Arabidopsis thaliana: one gene and its partners. The protein of the gene in region 2 interacts with the protein of the main gene of each other region in a pairwise test. Each region holds a gene or a part of one and is shown on either strand. Other genes may lie near its edges.

What was found. The genes of interacting proteins can lie anywhere in the genome.
Region 1: the proteins of ARF2 (region 2) and WRKY38 interact in binary tests that used the Arabidopsis thaliana proteins (3 or more experiments, as listed by UniProt).
Region 3: the proteins of ARF2 (region 2) and IAA10 interact in binary tests that used the Arabidopsis thaliana proteins (3 or more experiments, as listed by UniProt).

Annotation. Positions count from the first base shown.
Region 1 is NC_003076.8:7,494,457-7,498,896, forward strand, and holds WRKY38 (WRKY DNA-binding protein 38), read right to left. Parts: upstream 2,535-4,440; 5' UTR 2,252-2,534; coding exon 1,986-2,251; intron 1,843-1,985; coding exon 1,720-1,842; intron 1,633-1,719; coding exon 1,152-1,632; 3' UTR 999-1,151; downstream 1-998. UniProt on the Arabidopsis thaliana protein: Transcription factor. Interacts specifically with the W box (5'-(T)TGAC[CT]-3'), a frequently occurring elicitor-responsive cis-acting element.
Region 2 is NC_003076.8:24,908,125-24,916,144, reverse strand, and holds ARF2 (auxin response factor 2), read right to left. Parts: upstream 5,955-8,020; 5' UTR 5,535-5,954; exon of another isoform or gene 5,433-5,534; 5' UTR 5,287-5,432; coding exon 5,133-5,286; intron 5,043-5,132; coding exon 4,927-5,042; intron 4,802-4,926; coding exon 4,706-4,801; intron 4,622-4,705; coding exon 4,565-4,621; intron 4,471-4,564; coding exon 4,315-4,470; intron 4,213-4,314; coding exon 4,128-4,212; intron 4,034-4,127; coding exon 3,943-4,033; intron 3,864-3,942; coding exon 3,699-3,863; intron 3,565-3,698; coding exon 3,445-3,564; intron 3,352-3,444; coding exon 3,276-3,351; intron 3,200-3,275; coding exon 3,028-3,199; intron 2,932-3,027; coding exon 2,009-2,931; intron 1,918-2,008; coding exon 1,727-1,917; intron 1,643-1,726; coding exon 1,465-1,642; 3' UTR 1,425-1,464; intron 1,332-1,424; exon of another isoform or gene 1,329-1,331; coding exon of another isoform or gene 1,272-1,328; 3' UTR 750-1,271; downstream 1-749. Other genes in the region: AT5G61997 (uncharacterized protein), read left to right, coding at 7,761-7,880. UniProt on the Arabidopsis thaliana protein: Auxin response factors (ARFs) are transcriptional factors that bind specifically to the DNA sequence 5'-TGTCTC-3' found in the auxin-responsive promoter elements (AuxREs). Could act as transcriptional activator or repressor.
Region 3 is NC_003070.9:1,057,732-1,062,207, reverse strand, and holds IAA10 (indoleacetic acid-induced protein 10), read right to left. Parts: upstream 2,739-4,476; 5' UTR 2,479-2,738; coding exon of another isoform or gene 2,400-2,478; coding exon 2,128-2,399; intron 1,926-2,127; coding exon of another isoform or gene 1,885-1,925; coding exon 1,574-1,884; intron 1,477-1,573; coding exon 1,344-1,476; intron 1,252-1,343; coding exon 1,182-1,251; 3' UTR 999-1,181; downstream 1-998. Other genes in the region: SDD1 (Subtilase family protein), read left to right, coding at 1-751; AT1G04090 (vacuolar sorting-associated protein (DUF946)), read right to left, coding at 2,961-4,476. UniProt on the Arabidopsis thaliana protein: Aux/IAA proteins are short-lived transcriptional factors that function as repressors of early auxin response genes at low auxin concentrations.

The DNA of each region.
Region 1 (4,440 bases), about 17 Mb from region 2:
GTAATGGTGTATGTAATCTATTCATTTATGTAAGATTCTATGTTTTTAAGCAAATCGTTTCTTTTTTGGTATCAAGCAAATCGTTTCATAATTAGCATATAATGTTTTCTAGTTTCTTTATCCTTTCAATGTGTCAAGCTTCATTTTCTATTAATCATTTTGAATAGACCGAACGCAAGAAGATGTGTGTGCTTCGGCCAATAGCAAGAAAAATCAAACCCTTGTAAATATTACATTTTCTCAAACAAATCCGGTTTTACATATTCTACTTCTGCTCCAAATATGAAAAATACTTCGGTTCAAATCCGGTTCACCCTCAGGAATTTAAACTTTGTTATTCACCCTATTTTATTTTGCTAATCATAATATACCACTTAATTAAAAATATTAAATTATAAAAATTAATTTGCCACCAAAAACAGTTATATATTAGTTTGAGTTTATAAGAAAATAGTTAAGATTAAAATTTAATAATTAAACAAGATAAAATATAGGTTTGAGTTTATAAACGAGTTTAGATTTTTTTCAACTAGATGAGGTTAATTGTTGGTATGAGTTTATAAAAAGGTTTACATTTTACATTTTTAAACGAGGTTAAATATATCAATTTGGGTTTAGAAAAAATGGTTAGGATTATAGACGTTAAAACTAAACGAGGTTAAATGTTGGTATGAGTTTGTAAAGGAGAATTATGGTTTAGTTTGTAAATAAACGAGGTCAAATTAAATGTTGGGTTTGGTTTATAAACATATTTAGATTTTACAATTAAACGAGGTTAAATGTGAGTTTGGGATTAGAAAGAATGGTTAGAATTTATATTTTACAATTAAACAAGGTTAAAATGTCGGTTTTGAGCTTTTAAAGATGAATGAGAGTTTAGATTTTATAATTAAACGAGATTATAGATCGATTTAGGTTTACACAAAAAGTGGTTGAAATTTATATTTTATAATCAAATGAATTTTTAATTTATTTATTAGATGATAGAGTTTTATTGGCCGGAAATAAACTCTTAGGGGTGAATATAAATATTGTTCTCGGATTATCTAATCAATAACATAAATACTTAAATAGTCACAATTCTCAAATATATACAATCTCATAAAAAGGAAAACATTATTAAATAGTTTTAGCTGAAAAATCTAGTGCAATCAAAAGTAAAACTGATCATAACGATCCCACGAGTCTGGGTTGTCAAATAACAAATCAGAATTAAAGTCAGCACTTTCACTGCCAGATGACGATGAAGGAGGATAAGAGCCTGATGGTGATGATAGATATTCTTCTATAACATCTTGACAATCTTGGTCATTACTGGTTATCTCACGGTACTGATCTATAGCTTGCTCTTTGATGATATCTTCTTCATGCTTAACCGATAAGGAGAAACCGTTCGAGCGGCTTTCCTTCTCCTGATCCTGATCTTTTCCGAATCGGATCATTTGGGTACTTTTAAAGTCATCTAGGGGATCTTGTCCGGCAATAAAAATGGCATCTAGATTATGTTCGGTTTTGCAAGTGTGGTGGCCAAAGTAAGTGGTTCGGTAAACCGGAGGATTGTCTTTGATCTTTTGTTCATGCTTTCTTGCTTCGCAGTTATGATCTTTGTTGTAAGAACATCTATAGTAACTCCTGTTACCATCATCATACACCAATTAGTATGAGTGATCGGGATAGAAATAATTATGATGAAATATGATTAGCTATACTATTTCTTACCTTTGGTGATTAGATTTTTTTATACTCTTTTGACCATATTTCCTCCAAAGATACCCGTCGTAGTAAATCGGATCCGGTGAATCGTCCCTCCAATTCTCACTTGAATTTGTACTATCAATCTTTCTGCAAACATGAGTATTATCAAAATATTAGCATTAAAATCAACATATACTCCTAAGAAAAAAAATACTTATATTAAGAATTGTGGTTTCATTTGGAAAAACAAAAACAAACTCAAAAAAGAAAACAAACTCATAAGTGTATACCTTTTCTTGGAGGGGCTCCCCTGTGGAGGAGGAGAAGAATCCCTAGAAGATAAATCAGAAAACTGATCATCTTCGGTTTCTGGTTTAGCAGATAAGATTGAAATGGCATTGGAAAAACTTTCAACGATCGATTTAGCAAGATCATAACTTGAAAGCGGTCCACCATCAGCCATTGGATGGTTGAGCCGCCTCTTCAACCGCATGGCGCAGCTATGGCCATAACGGATAGCTTGCACCGCCTTTTCGTGTGGGGAGTTCATTTCCATAGAGTATAGTGAACTTGTGTGTGTGTGTATGTGTTTCTTGTTTGTTTTCTTTTTCTCAAGTCTCTTCTCTGTGCTATAAACTTTTGAACGGATAGGGAGATCAGAATTTATAGGACTAGTCGTACATACACGTTCCCAAATGACTTTGCCAATTTGGGTTTACCAAATATAATTTACATACACTAGGTTATATTTTAAGAAGCCAATGATAAATTATAATTTCGATATAGGACATGTGCTCTGCTAGACTTATATGCGTGAATCTAAATAAAGAGAGACAAAAAGATAGATTAGGTGTTGACATTAGCATATGATCTGTCATGATGTATAGGAAACAGAGTTTATTTTATATACCTTTCCCAGTACGCGGCTCACTTAATTATATACAATCTGTTTTTAATTGTTTCAGAATTTATCTGTTTCTCTTATTACACTAATCTACGCGGTTCGCTTAATAATTAAAGATTAAAAATTAAAAACTACTCCTTTCAGAACACTAAAAGGTTTCAAGATAGGAGGAATCTAATAGAAAACTGTGTTCTACAAAGTCAGATATATTAGAGAGAGATATGAGCTATGATAAACCCCAAATTAGCAATGATTTTAAAATTTTCTTTTGTAATCTTTCCATTTCAATATGTGTCGCAATTTTTTTTATTTTTTTTTTGAAAATATATAGCAGATGAAATTTAAGAATAAATTTGTTTGCTTAATTTTGTTGATTGTATATCGTTAAATATTTTTTATTTAATATTTTGATAGGTGGTTTTAATTATAATTTATACGGTAACTAATAATATAGAGTTTTGAAAATAATATATTTTACGTTCATATGACAAAAAAAAACAAATGTATGTAATAGATTGGATGTTCACAAAAAAAAAAAGTATAACATATTTTACACGTCCATCGCAATGTTTACCTCATCAAAGATGAAACGTGTACAAATAATGTTTTTTTGCTCAATATAATAAGCTTCGAACACATATGATATGATCAATTCATTTTTTTGTAATGAAAATACTCCACTAGTCGTGGATATCTTTAATGGTAAAATTATCTAATTTTTTGGTGAGTTTTGGTTCAGATTTTAAATAAAAATGTAAGTATTTAGACCAGACAAAAGATAATTATTAGGTAATAGAATAACATTAACAAGTAAGATCTAGACAATTTTTCAACGCTTAAAGAGAGAAATAATTGCGATGTAGCTGGCGAGTGGCGACTAATGCACCAATGAAAACGGCATTAGTTTCGTCGGACACTCGACGTCAGCCCCATGACGTAGTTTTTGTTGAAGGGGCTGATTCAGCAGATTGACGTCAGAACGAAGCAGCAATGTTGATTATATTATATACTAACAACAACTAGTCAACTATGCCGTGATGTGAGATTCATTCGTTGGCTACTCGGTCCATATTTTAATTTAATCTAAAATTTTAAGAATTTATAATTAATAAGCTTTGCAAAAGATAACTGGTAATCTTGAATCCTTTTTCTTTAGGTAAACTTGAATCTTATATGAAAGAAAAATTAGTAATTACATTTTAAGCGGATAAAATGATATAATATACGTACAAAAGCTTGTTTTGAATATATAGTATAATCTGAAAGCTAACCAATCCAAGTTATACAATCATATTTTAAAACTAATAGATGGTCAATCCAAAACAATTTATCCTTATCAGATTGTATACATCGATGGTATTTTCAGGCCATGAATTAACACCATTCATGAAACTATACAACAAATTACAAAGTTTGTAAAGAATGTTAAGTTCTATCTACCCATCAATTTAACAACCCTATCTTCTTCTGCGGGTGGTTAATGTAAATTGATAGATATCAACACATAAGAGATATATATATATATATATATATATATATATATATATATAAACTTTCGCACGTGACTTTGATCTGATCTGTGAAACGTTGCCCACATGTATTTTGTTCTTGTTATTAGCAAATTGTTAAATATTGTATAGGTATTAGTACTATATTGAGTAAGGGGTCACATATGTACAAGTCAAGCAAAGCTATGGGTCAAGTCACATTATTTTATGGTGCGAAAGGAAAGTGAATGTGAACATGACTTACATGACAATAATGGTGATACATTTTTTTAATAATTTTATTTATTAGCTAATTAAACCAAGTAGTTGGAACGTAGCTTCCATGTCTTCTTT
Region 2 (8,020 bases):
ATGTAGGAAGGAGTAATATGTAATAATGGGGGTTAAAAGATCGAGAAGCAGCGTAATGTTTTAGGCTTCAAGAAACTTCCTATGGAGTTGCGTGTTTATTCCCTCATATAGTGTGCCCCAAGTGGTGAGGTCCCACATTTTGTTTACTTTATCCTATTGTTTATTTGGAATTTTGGAAAAATTAATAATTTTGTTAGATTGTCTGCTTTGATGTGTCATCCATATCAGACCTATCACTATATGTGTCGATGGTAGAATTACAAGGAGCTAGAGAACCACTTATTTAACTATGCAGTTTTGTATTGTTGTAAGATAATGGCATAAACTGATACAATTGAAAGTTTTTCCATAAACTCAGCAAGTTTGATAAAATGTTTGTTGTGTTTCTGTGACGATTGAGATTGTCGGCTTAAGGCGGTAGTATGCCAGAGTTGCCGGTGTTGTGTGTTTCATATGGTTTAAAGTCTTGATTTAGATAGAGTTCTACCTAAATACAAGTTTGGTTATGAAGAGCCATATGATAGAATGAAACCATAGATCACGAAACTTTGATCATGTGTTTGCCATGGTGTCATCTTTCTGTTTTTCAGCGGATTCGTTTATATGGACATGAGCATAGCTAGAGAAATAAACTTGAAAACCCAAACCTTGTTTTCCTCATTGTTACAAGGGAAACAACAAATTTTAGCATCCAGTTTTTTTTTCAAAGTACTTTAAAAAGAGGGCTCACTGTTTTGCTCATTGCAAGCTTAATTTTCAGATTGTAGCTAGAAACATCCGAATTTATTTAATGTAAGGATTCGAAATGGAATCCGTTTGTTAAGAGGTCTTACAGTTTCGTGAATATATCTATATCACCGTCTAATACGAAAAGCTGCAAAATACCGACAAGACCAGACCAAAACCAAAAGTCAGCAAGAGAATAAGTTGAGAAAATGTGAATCGACAAGATAATTAAAAAAGGGCAAGAGCTTGAAAACTTATGTACATTGGGATTAATATAAACAATAAAAAGACTTCAAGAGATCTTTGGAAGAAGGAAAAAAATACATCCATAAAAAGAACCGATACCAGCCTCCGACTACAACTCCACACCATCATATTCTACTTATAAAAGAGCTTTTCATATTCTACTATATAATACCTGTAACCTTTTTATGTTTTACTTTATAATATCTATTAATTATTATTAGATAGATAATAAGGGTGATGGAAGATGCTAATTATCTAAGTGGCCAACAAAATACTTCAAAAATTGCATTTTTAATATCTTATCTTAAACCCATCATCCCATTTTGCTCTCCAGTCTCCACCAATCGACCCCCATCCTGCTGTCATTAACAGAACAAACATCAGTCGAATGTAATGACATAAACTTTTGGCTGTGTCTCTAGTCTACTAATATCTCAAAAGCTTTTACATACCTCGGCTTGCAGCAAAAGGGTTGTTGGTTATTTTGTTTGTTTAAGAGTTCCCAGCGCTGGACAATGAAGGATTTGATGCAGACTTGGCGTCCTTTGCATCTGATCCTTCCCCAACAACTGCTTCTTCCTCGCTCCTACAGCTTAAAGTCCCCGGGTTCATCTTCCTCACTTCCTCTTTCGTGTATATGAAGATTTTGCGAACCATGCAACAAAACTCCCTGCAAGAGAGATCATTGTGTCAGTGTTATAAGAAAAACACTAACATCGATATAAACTAAGATGGAAAATTTGCAAAATCTTACTGCCAAGGATCGTCACCAACAAGCATCATATCATTCTCTTCATCTGTGTAAACTATCAACCAATCTTTCTTAGGAGCCATCAACTCTCCATTGAACTCAAACAGCCTGTCCAGCTCAGCGACTAACTCCTCATAGTTTTGGAACTTTGAAAGATCCACTGAACGGCCAAGTGCAATTCCCTGCTTGTGAACCTTTACATCAATGTGTCATGTGTTAGTTGAAAAGTGATTCAAGGGTTATCACAACCTCATACACTTTGTGCTACATATTGCAAAAATTTACCTTTGTGCAACTCCTACTTGAGTTGGTTTTCGTTTGAGCATCCTTCGGATGAGGATTATTAGTCTGGAATGGTCTTCCCTGTTCACGATGATCGTTTGTTGATTTTGACCCTTTTGACTGATCTGAAAGGTCCTGAACCTTTGGTGATGCTATCTGTGTAAGCCCCGCAGCATCATTCAAGTTGTTTCTCTGAGACATGGTTGAGTCTGTCCCATTCATGTTGTTGGTCAGAGGAATGCCAAAGAGCCTGCAGTTCCCTTCTCTTGACTTTGCTGTCTCCTCTTGTATCGTGAAGGGTTGTTTTGTTACTTGCTCCCTAGCCTGAGCTTGCGCTTGAGCATTGACCACTTCCTCATAATAATTCAAAGCACGTGGACGTATTGGCCAGTTACCACCAGCATTCTCAGTCGATAGACCATTAAGAACAGGATATTCGCTGTATTTAACATTGCATCGCCCTTGGAGAGACGCATCAGTTGCTGCAGGTACCTTAGGAGATTCATGTAACTTCAGGGAGAGACCAGAGTGTATCATCTGCCACTGGTTAGCAAGATAATCGAACTTGCCTTCTGAATCACTCAAGATTCTCTTTGCAGGCATAGAAGGTGATGATGAATGGTCATAAAAAGGTATCCGCTGACCATGGGATGGATCTATGTTAGTCCCAAAGCCGGAGAGCAAATCTGTGTAAGTAGGTTCATGCCTGGCTGAGGACATCCAGTTCTCAGATCCATATCTTCTAGAACCCGAAACCACGTCAACCTTATCATCATCCGCTGAAGATTGCCAGACAACAGAATTCTCAGGAGCATCACACTCTACACTCTCAGTATGTTTCGTCCTCAAGGTCGAGTATTCTTGACCTTGCAAGACCCTTGAAAGTCCGCTTGCTGGTAAAGGGTCCATGTTTGCCTTAGTTGTACCTGTTTTGTGTACAATGAATTAGACTCCCACTGACAAGTTCAATTAAGTTTCAGACGCACTACTATGTGTACTACAGTGGAAGGGGAAGACATTACCTTCTCTGGTAAGCATCGAAGAGTCAGGAGATGAAGGTGCTATATTTGATCTGGGCCTCTTAGGCCTAGGCATTGGAACAGGACTCAAAGCAGGAGGAGCAAGAGCTGGCTCTACTTTCCACGGAGATACTCTATCAGGTCGAGGAATACTAGAAGTCTCATCCCATCTCACCTGAAAGACAATTGAACAATCAGCATTCATTATATTCAAACAATAGTCTTGATCCTCTCTAGAAACTAGGTCATACCTTGAGGGATCTCCACTTTGATTTTGGCCACCTAGTAGGATCAGACTCTTCAATCCCAACGATTGTGCCAGTAAACCTAATATAAATCAATACAACTTGTTAGGTTCGTTATTCCAAGAGAAAAAGGCTCAAGAGCTAACATATTTCAAAAGCAGAAGACAGGTTTTACCTCTGCTCAGGAGCCTCTTCGCCTTCAAATCTCATTTTGAATCTCATGCCAATAGAGTAGTTATTCTTAACAGACTCCATATACTGATCGAACGGAACAATAAACTCAGATGGGCTCGTCCTGTATTAAACAAAACAACACCGCATGAAAATTTAGTAGAGTGATTCACTACCAAGCATCAGACATATAGAGACATACAAAGCAAAGAGCTCAAAAAACTGAAAGCTGTTTTGTGAGCTAATACAAATACAAACCTGGGTTTGTAGTAGACTGTAAACATAGTCCCTGTTGAAATGGCATGCCATGCGGTGGCCAGTACTCCAAGATGCATGCTATGGCTAGATATAACAGAAGACGGCACGTTTCCTTGTTGTCGCATCGCACGCCTTACACCAACTCTTAATTCTCCATTCTCGCCCCTGTAGAAGATTAAGATATTCCACATTATAGAAACTAACAGATACAGCTAAAGAAAACAATGAACTAAAATCCACAAACCTTAGAAATATAAACGCATCGCCTGCAACTAGCCTTTTGGAGCTAACAAACACACTCCACCCACTCTGTAGCAAATGCCTCCGTGGTTGACCTGGTCCATTATCACAAACATCAACAACCAGATAAGTTTGATGACACACAGACTCGAGAAAAACAGAAAATAAAAAAGTTACAGATTCCTATACCCCGGAATATATGTCTGAATCGCCACTCATTTGCATGCAAATCCTTTGCAACTAACTCTTGAGTGGGAGGCTGTCGAGACATATCCTGAGGGAAGAAACAAAAAATGAATTGAAGGCAATCTTAGAACAAAATTCAGGAAAAATAAGCCAATGAATAGATAGTTAGAAGCGCAAATGAAACACCAACCAGAGGTGGGAGACATTCATCCGCATGTCGCCTAAGAACAGAAAATCCACCATGTGTACTTGTGTCGGATGCAGTCAAGGTTTTGCAGAACGAATGCACCTGGAACCTCGGAGGTGGAGGAAGAGGCGCTTCTTTCTCAATTGCATTCTCGTCTTGCTGTATGGAACAAAAAATATATAGAATTCAGCATCTTGAAGAATAAGATCACCTCTACAACACTCAAACCAATAAATCAGAAAACAAAACTTACATTAGCCTCAGGAAGAAGAGTAATCTGCGCATAAACTTCATCTGTATCTGCCTCTGCCTGTAAAATCATAAACAAAACTCTTGTTAGCTGACAATCCAAGACACAGAAACCAAAATTTTCCAAGAAGTTAAAGAAACCTACCTTTAAATCTACATTAATAACTCGACAGAGAAGCTTTGACGGAAGATCATAGAGAGGCATCTGTTGTTCTGCCGCCTGGTTCGTCGAAGCCTCCACCTAATCATAAAACAATGGAAACCGACAAAGTTCATTAGAAAATATCTCAACAGGTACGAATCACAGAGGGGTTAACTCAAAGATTTAGCCAAAAATAGCAAGAACTCATAGATGAAATATCTCACCTGCTCGATGTGTCCTTGAGGAAAATAGAAGACTCGGTCGTCTTGTCTAGGAACCGTCACAAGCGGACCAGCACAAGCGTGCCATAGCTCTCTGTAAAGAGCAGCCTCAGGGTCCACTATGAAGACGAAGAAGAAGAAGATAAATTAGATCAAGTCAGTCTGTAACCAAAACCAAGCTTAAGAAACCCTAAGAAACGGAGACTTACAAGCACGCTCAGCCGCAGCGGATCGGGTAGAATTACTTTTTTGCCCCTCGCCGGCGACGGAGACATTTCTAGTCTCCTTAGGGTCACTAAAACCAGAGGAGGAGAAGTTATCTCCTCCACGATTACCTTTCATTGAAACCTCCGAACTCGCCATACCTTCCGAAGCTCAGATCTGTTTCATCTGGTACCAAATAAGCCTCTAAGCAGACGATATCAACAAGAAATCTCCAAATCCGTCTCTGAAAAAGCTCAAAACTCGCTTCGGTAGTCCACTTGATTCCTTCCTTTGTCTTTATCTCACTAACAAACACAATCACCACTAGTTTAGCTCCTTGACATTACTCGATAAAACTATCAGAGAAGATAAACCCTAGAATCAAACGATAAAACCACCAATTTCACCTCAAATTGCCTCCGATTTAGAGATACGACAACTCCAAAGCTCTCTCTCTCTCTCTCTCGCCGTCCTCGCTAGTCTAGGCTTTATCGGAGTCACAGACGCTTGAATACCGACGACGAGCGATTTTCTCTTGTTTTGTCTCTCAGAGTTTGTCTCTCTAACATTCTCTCTCTTTTTATTTCTTCGTCTTTCCTATCCTTTTGTTTTTCTGGGTATGAGGCGACCAATGGGCTTAACCAGAGGTAGTCAAAACTCAGCTTCAATCATTTCAACCGCGGTAAACTTCTAACCCATATGGATAACCGGCATTCACCGGTTACCATTCCCTCTTTCATACCGGCTATTACCGGTTGTAACCATTTCCGGGGGACCAGGGTCTGCGACCTCACAAAACCAAAGACAAGTGACGATTTTATTTTCTTTCCTCCACTTTTTCTTATTTTTTAATAAAGCCTTTTCAATAGAAAAAATTGACATATCCTTTTCTAAAATTTAATTTTTTAAAAAACAAATTGGAGAAGATAAATTGAAGAAAAGACCCAAATTGCAGACATTTCCAAGTCGTATTTCCCCAGAAATATAGCAATTTAAGTCATCCTAAAATTGTTGACCAAAACAATTCTTGAAAAAACTATGGTCTGGTAGTATTTATTTACTGGTGACTGTGAGTTGAATACTTTTATTTATTTACAGTTACTGTGAGTTGAAAAATAAATACTCAAGTTGCCAAAAAAAATCCATTAGGGGAGAAAATAAATTAAATGTGTAGAGGGGATTAGCAAGTAAGAAAGGCTGCTTTACTTTTTTAGATGGGACTAACGGCGTCAACAAGTCGTGAGCAAGCGTCAACTTTTGATTGGGTAAAGAGGATAACGGTGTTTGGGAAAGAGAGCGTCAATGGGAAAGGTGTTGTGTTTTTATTGGGAAGTGGCTTTGTCGTGCTGTGAACAGGCAGGTCTGGGTGGACGTAGAGAGAACGAGAGAGGGAGAAAAATGCTACGTGGCACCAGAAAAATATGTGCATTTTAGCATTTTAAAGATATTTCGGATGTCATTTTCTATGGTCTTTTGGCTATCGTGCGCCTCTAGGAATTTTCGTCTCGTGAATCTCTCGTACTTTAATTTACCCTGTTTTTCTTTTTATGGAAAAACAAAGACGTTTCATTATCTGTTTTTTATTTTCTCTAATTCAATTACAACTCAGATATATAAAAGATCGTCGAATATTATACGAACCTCAACCATATTTATGATATCCTGATGGCAGAACAAAAAATACGAAGCCTTAACAGTCATTCGATAGTTATTTTAAACTAGTAGTTGATTTTATCTAAAATCATTTGCTGAACAACTAAATTAACTCTTGGATTACCACTTAATACAGCTGGCTAATGGGATGAATCTGCTTCAAAAATTAAATTTCCGTATGCCCCGTCATAATTACATATTTACATATATTGTTGTAAGTGGAAGCGTTAAAAAGGAAGAAAATCTGGTTTATAGACAAGAGTTTATTGTAGTCCACTCATACAGCTGGCAAATAAGATTAATTAGTGTTCCTAAAAAAAAATTAAGTCCAAATTACGAATGAATTAAATCAACCTTTTTCTTTTATAGTAGTATCTACTAAAACGTTGGCCATGTTCTTTTGTTGATTGCTGCGTCAGCTACCTGCGACCCAAAAAAAGTTCTCATCTCTTTTTCACTTTCATTTCTCATTTTTTTCATCTCTGCCGCATCGACTGTAATTCGGCCATTCCGTAGACGCTGGAATTTTCAGCGTCTCAAATTCCCTTTCTCCTATCTCTTCAGATCTGTCGCTGCGACTCTTTCATTCATCTCACCTTCATCTCTCTTTCTTTTTTTCTTTATATTTTATACCGTCGGTGCTTGTCGCAGCGATAAACAAAAGAACAAGGTAAATATCAAATAACTAATCGCGACAAAACTTTTTATTTTCTTCTAATTATTATATATCGTTTAATATTTAACACACGCACACTATTTTGCACAAATTATTTTTAACAACACGTAAACTATCTCTCTGTGAAACACAAAATCTATTGCAAAATTACAAACCATGAAAATCAAATTTGGAAAAAAAAAAAAATCAGGATAACGATGGAAAATAAAAAAGAAGACTGTTCAGCAATAAGCCAATAACACGTCACACGCGATATGACAAGGAAAACGAGACGATACAATATTGAGAGGAAAAGGACGAGAAAATGGGGAGAGGAAATTCACGTGTTGGTAACGCACTTGCTAAGAGGTGTGGGACCCAAGAGTACTGTGTAGCATTTGTGTGTGGTCTAAAAGCAACCATTGTAGGAATCTTTGTCCGTTAAAAAGAAAAACCATTTTTTTATATTTTCTTTCTTCTTTTCTCGTTTTTTCTTTAATAATCTAAATATATGGTCTTCGTATATCATCACCATTTTGATATATAAAAATAAAAGTACTCCATCACCATTTAGATAAATGAATT
Region 3 (4,476 bases), on a different chromosome or scaffold from region 2:
TTGGCCTCAAAATCTAGGACCAACCGGACTTCCTTATGATTCAAGAAGAGTTAACTTCACTGTAATGTCAGGAACTTCAATGTCTTGTCCACATGTTAGCGGAATCACTGCTCTTATCCGGTCTGCATACCCGAACTGGTCTCCAGCTGCAATCAAATCCGCATTGATGACAACAGCGGATTTGTACGATCGTCAAGGGAAAGCGATAAAGGATGGTAACAAACCAGCCGGTGTGTTTGCGATTGGAGCAGGGCATGTGAATCCGCAAAAGGCGATAAACCCGGGATTGGTTTACAACATTCAACCAGTGGATTACATAACTTACCTCTGCACTCTTGGATTCACAAGATCAGATATTTTAGCAATCACTCATAAGAACGTGAGCTGCAATGGAATATTGCGGAAAAACCCGGGTTTTAGTCTCAATTACCCGTCGATAGCCGTGATTTTCAAACGTGGCAAGACTACGGAGATGATCACAAGGCGTGTCACTAACGTTGGGAGTCCTAACTCGATATACTCAGTGAATGTCAAGGCTCCAGAGGGGATCAAAGTTATTGTCAATCCTAAGAGACTTGTGTTCAAACACGTGGATCAGACGCTGAGCTATAGAGTATGGTTTGTATTGAAGAAGAAAAACAGAGGAGGGAAGGTGGCTAGCTTTGCACAAGGGCAGTTGACTTGGGTCAACTCTCATAATCTGATGCAGCGAGTTAGAAGTCCAATCTCTGTAACCTTGAAGACTAACTGAGCCAATGAAGGAAAACGTTTTTCATTCTGTTTCAAGACTGTGTTAGGTTTATTAGGTTTTTATGCTAAGAAAACCTCGTGAAGCTGATTGATTGTTGTTATTGTACGCACAAGAGCTGTATTTCATTTTCCAGGGAATGAAACTACTGGTGATTCTATCATATTACTGTAGCTTGATTTCATCACTAAACCCTAATCCAGATGCATGCCTTTGTTGTTATAGTGGTATATTGGATCAGGCACCAATAGAGTGAAAAACCCTAAATATACAAAGATCTTTAAAGACAAGGTTAAGCTGTTGTTTGATATTCACAAACGACCACAAGACATATGTACACTCATGTATAAACATATGCACATGTATATATGTGAATGTGATATATGAGTTACAGACCAAAGAGATGTAAACTGTTTTTGCTATATAGGACTCTCTACTTACCTACTCCAGCTCCAATTGATGTCTTCATGATTCTCAGTCTTGTCACAGACCCGAGGAACATCCTGAGAAGATGAAAAGATCGTTTTCATTGAAATGGATGTGCCACATTACAAATACAGATGATGAATGGGAAGTTATAAGGGTAGTCACTTACTGCCAAGGAACATCTCCTACAAGCATCCAATCTCCGTCTTTATCTTGATATGTTATGATATATTCCGATGAGCCATCCAGTAATTTCGAAGTACATGTTTCCTTAATTGTCTTGTATCCTTGTGTGTTGGATCCTACAAATCGATCAATCAAAACCAGTCAATTTCAAGAGACACAGAATTTGAAAAACAGAATCACATGGAATCTCATGAAACAGAATTAGTAACTGACTTGTTACAGGAGAAGGAATCTGGAAAAACATTAGATCCAAAGTTTTCTCTAAGGCTGCATAAGAATCCAGAGCATTGAGATCAACCTTCCTTCCAATTATAACTCCGTCCATTGTCACCTTCACAAGCATAGAAGTCCTGGACGATTTGATAAAGCAAGCATCATCGTTCTTAGCAGCAACCACTACACTTTTTGTAGTCTCCTTTTGAATGCCAGAACTCAAGCCGCCTTCCGTAGCTAAAGACTTTGCTTGATTGACCAAACTGTTGATTCTGTAAGTCCGTAGAGGCGGCCAACCTACAGCAACTTGTCTGCTCCATTACCAAAAGATATTAAATCAAAAGACGAACAAGTATAAACCAATATGATTCAAAAGTTTAACTAAACATTTCAGGGAACACTCTATTTGATTCAATCCTGTGATTCATTCATTCTCAAAGTTTAAGGTCTAAAAGCTCTATCCTCTAAGTTGCTTTGATTCTGTAACAATAAGCAATCTGAGACCAATCATTCATATAGGTTATAATATAAAGTCTCGAAGATGAATTTTTTACCTGGTTGCGTTTGAGGCGGCAGCCGGAGAAGAATCAGCAGAGCGTTTGGTCCCACTTTCCCTGGTCAGAGAAGAAGACGAGGAAGACAAAGACGATCGAACCTTCCGACGACCAATGCTAAGACCCAAAGCTAGGTCGAGCTCTGTCTCTGACACTGACTCGTCGGGGCAAGATGAATCCTCCGACGAATGTGCGGCGTTTTCGTCTTCTTCAGCTGGTAGTCCGATCATCACCGACCCACTTGACGAACAAACTTCTTGCAAACCATTCATTATCCCAAATTGCCAAACGAATACACAAAGCAAGAACACTAAAACCCTTGATTCAAATCCAATTATCGATCAAGTTTGAAGAAACCCATTAACCAAGCAAACCAAAAAAAAGGTTTCAACTTTCAACACCTCTACGATTCTGAATTTCGAGACAGAAAAAAAAAAAAAACTTGAGGTCACGCACGGATCCACAGAACTGAAATTGAGAACTAAACGAGGTTTTAATCTTGATTCGAGGGCGACTTCGATTCTCGGATCAAAAACAAGGAATTTTTCTTAAAGAGAGAGAGAATGAAATTGGAGGAACGAAAAATCGGAAACGGTACACGAATGTGTGCGTTGCGTTTGGTGGAGGTTTGTTCGTCTATATAACTTTATTATTTTAATTAAATACATGATGGGACCCACTTGTATACACTTCTAACGACAAGTTTTACGTTAATCCTACGCTAATTGTGTAATTAATCTCTTGCGCAATCAAAGCTTCATCTTCCTTTACAAGTTACACAGTTAGGGCTCCGATGGTAATCTCACCACATCTGTTTCCCAACAGTGAGAATTTCAACATCTTTCATCGCCATACCAATTGTTCTTCTCCTTTGGTCCTGTAGGACCTTCCTCGCCGGATAATTCCACCGGAAGTTTTCTAAGCACTGTGGCAAGCGAAACCCTAACCGTCCTCGGAAATCGATTCACCAATCTCTCTATCTCCTCTCTTGAATCGTACACAACCTTTGGTCCCCATTCTCTCATGTACTGCAACCACGGCGGTTCTGCCAACACACTGTTTCCGCTGAGATACTCCGCTGCAATGATCTCGTACCGTGAGCTCGAATCTACCAAGAGTTCACTACGCGCAGTGTCATTTCTTATCCCAATCCCAAGCATTGTCGATCCCTGTAAGTAAGTCCCAGCCCTAGGAAAGCTTGCGTGACCATGTTTTGAAGAGTAAACAACGGCTTTGTTGCTTCCGGGAATGATTTCAAGGTCGTATGCTTCGATCCACTCGCCGCCACTGTGTTGAGACAAGTAGATTGAGTAAAGCTCACCAGAGAAATTGCTGATTCGGAGAGTGAAATGTTCCCAATCGCAGACGTGTTGGCCAATACTGATCAATGAGATATCGACGAGTCCTAGTTTTAAGGTTGCTGGTCCGTTAAATGGACAGAAGATCCAGAAGACAAGATCCGTGAACGTTCCTCCAAGAGCAGGCTTAATATGAATGTAAAGTTTCGAGCTTTCAAGGTTTCCTCGCTTGACGAAATCTCTTTGTTGATCATCACACGGCAAATCAATCCAAAACTGCTTGTCATTGCTTCCTCCTTGAGGCAAATTCGAACCATTTTCATCGATAGGTTCCTCGATTGGATTTCCCTTTTCGCAGAGAACTGCACCATTTTTGAAGAACCACGAAACAGAAGAAGGTAAGTAAGTTTCACCAGGATGGAAGACTAGTGTAGGACCATAGTGTTGAATCAAAGCTTGAATCTGATCAACATTTGGCATCGCATGTAAACTCAAATCTAGATTCTTTAGACAAGCAATACCGATACCAAGATCTTCTCTAGCAGCAACAAGCCGAGTTCTGCAGAAGAAAGTACCTGCAGAGACACCTTTGCCCCACATTCCTCGGTCTGAAGGCCGAGTTCTCCATATAAACAAAGGAACACCTAAAGATTCTGAAACAGCAGTGACAATGACATTGTGGGGTTCACATATATCAGTAAGATCAGCTCTAACACATCTAACTTCATTCAACTCAGGTTTCACGGAAGTCTTTGTAACCACAAAACCGATCGATCTATACCCTTCAGGAGGCTGCGGTAACCAGAAGTAACCGCATTCGCTCTTACTACTACATTCATTTTCTGCTGAATCATTTGAGCTCCAGACAAGAGTAAAATCAACAGGTTCCACTAATGCAGGTTTCTCTACCTGTTCTAATGAATCCACTAAATCTCTTGCCGCAAGTACATAACCTCTCAAAGGATGAGAATCAGACTGACAGTAGTGACCTAAGCAATGGAAGTCTTTAGGTAACAATCCCTTTGGTTTGTAAAATGAAATGTTCTTCTTC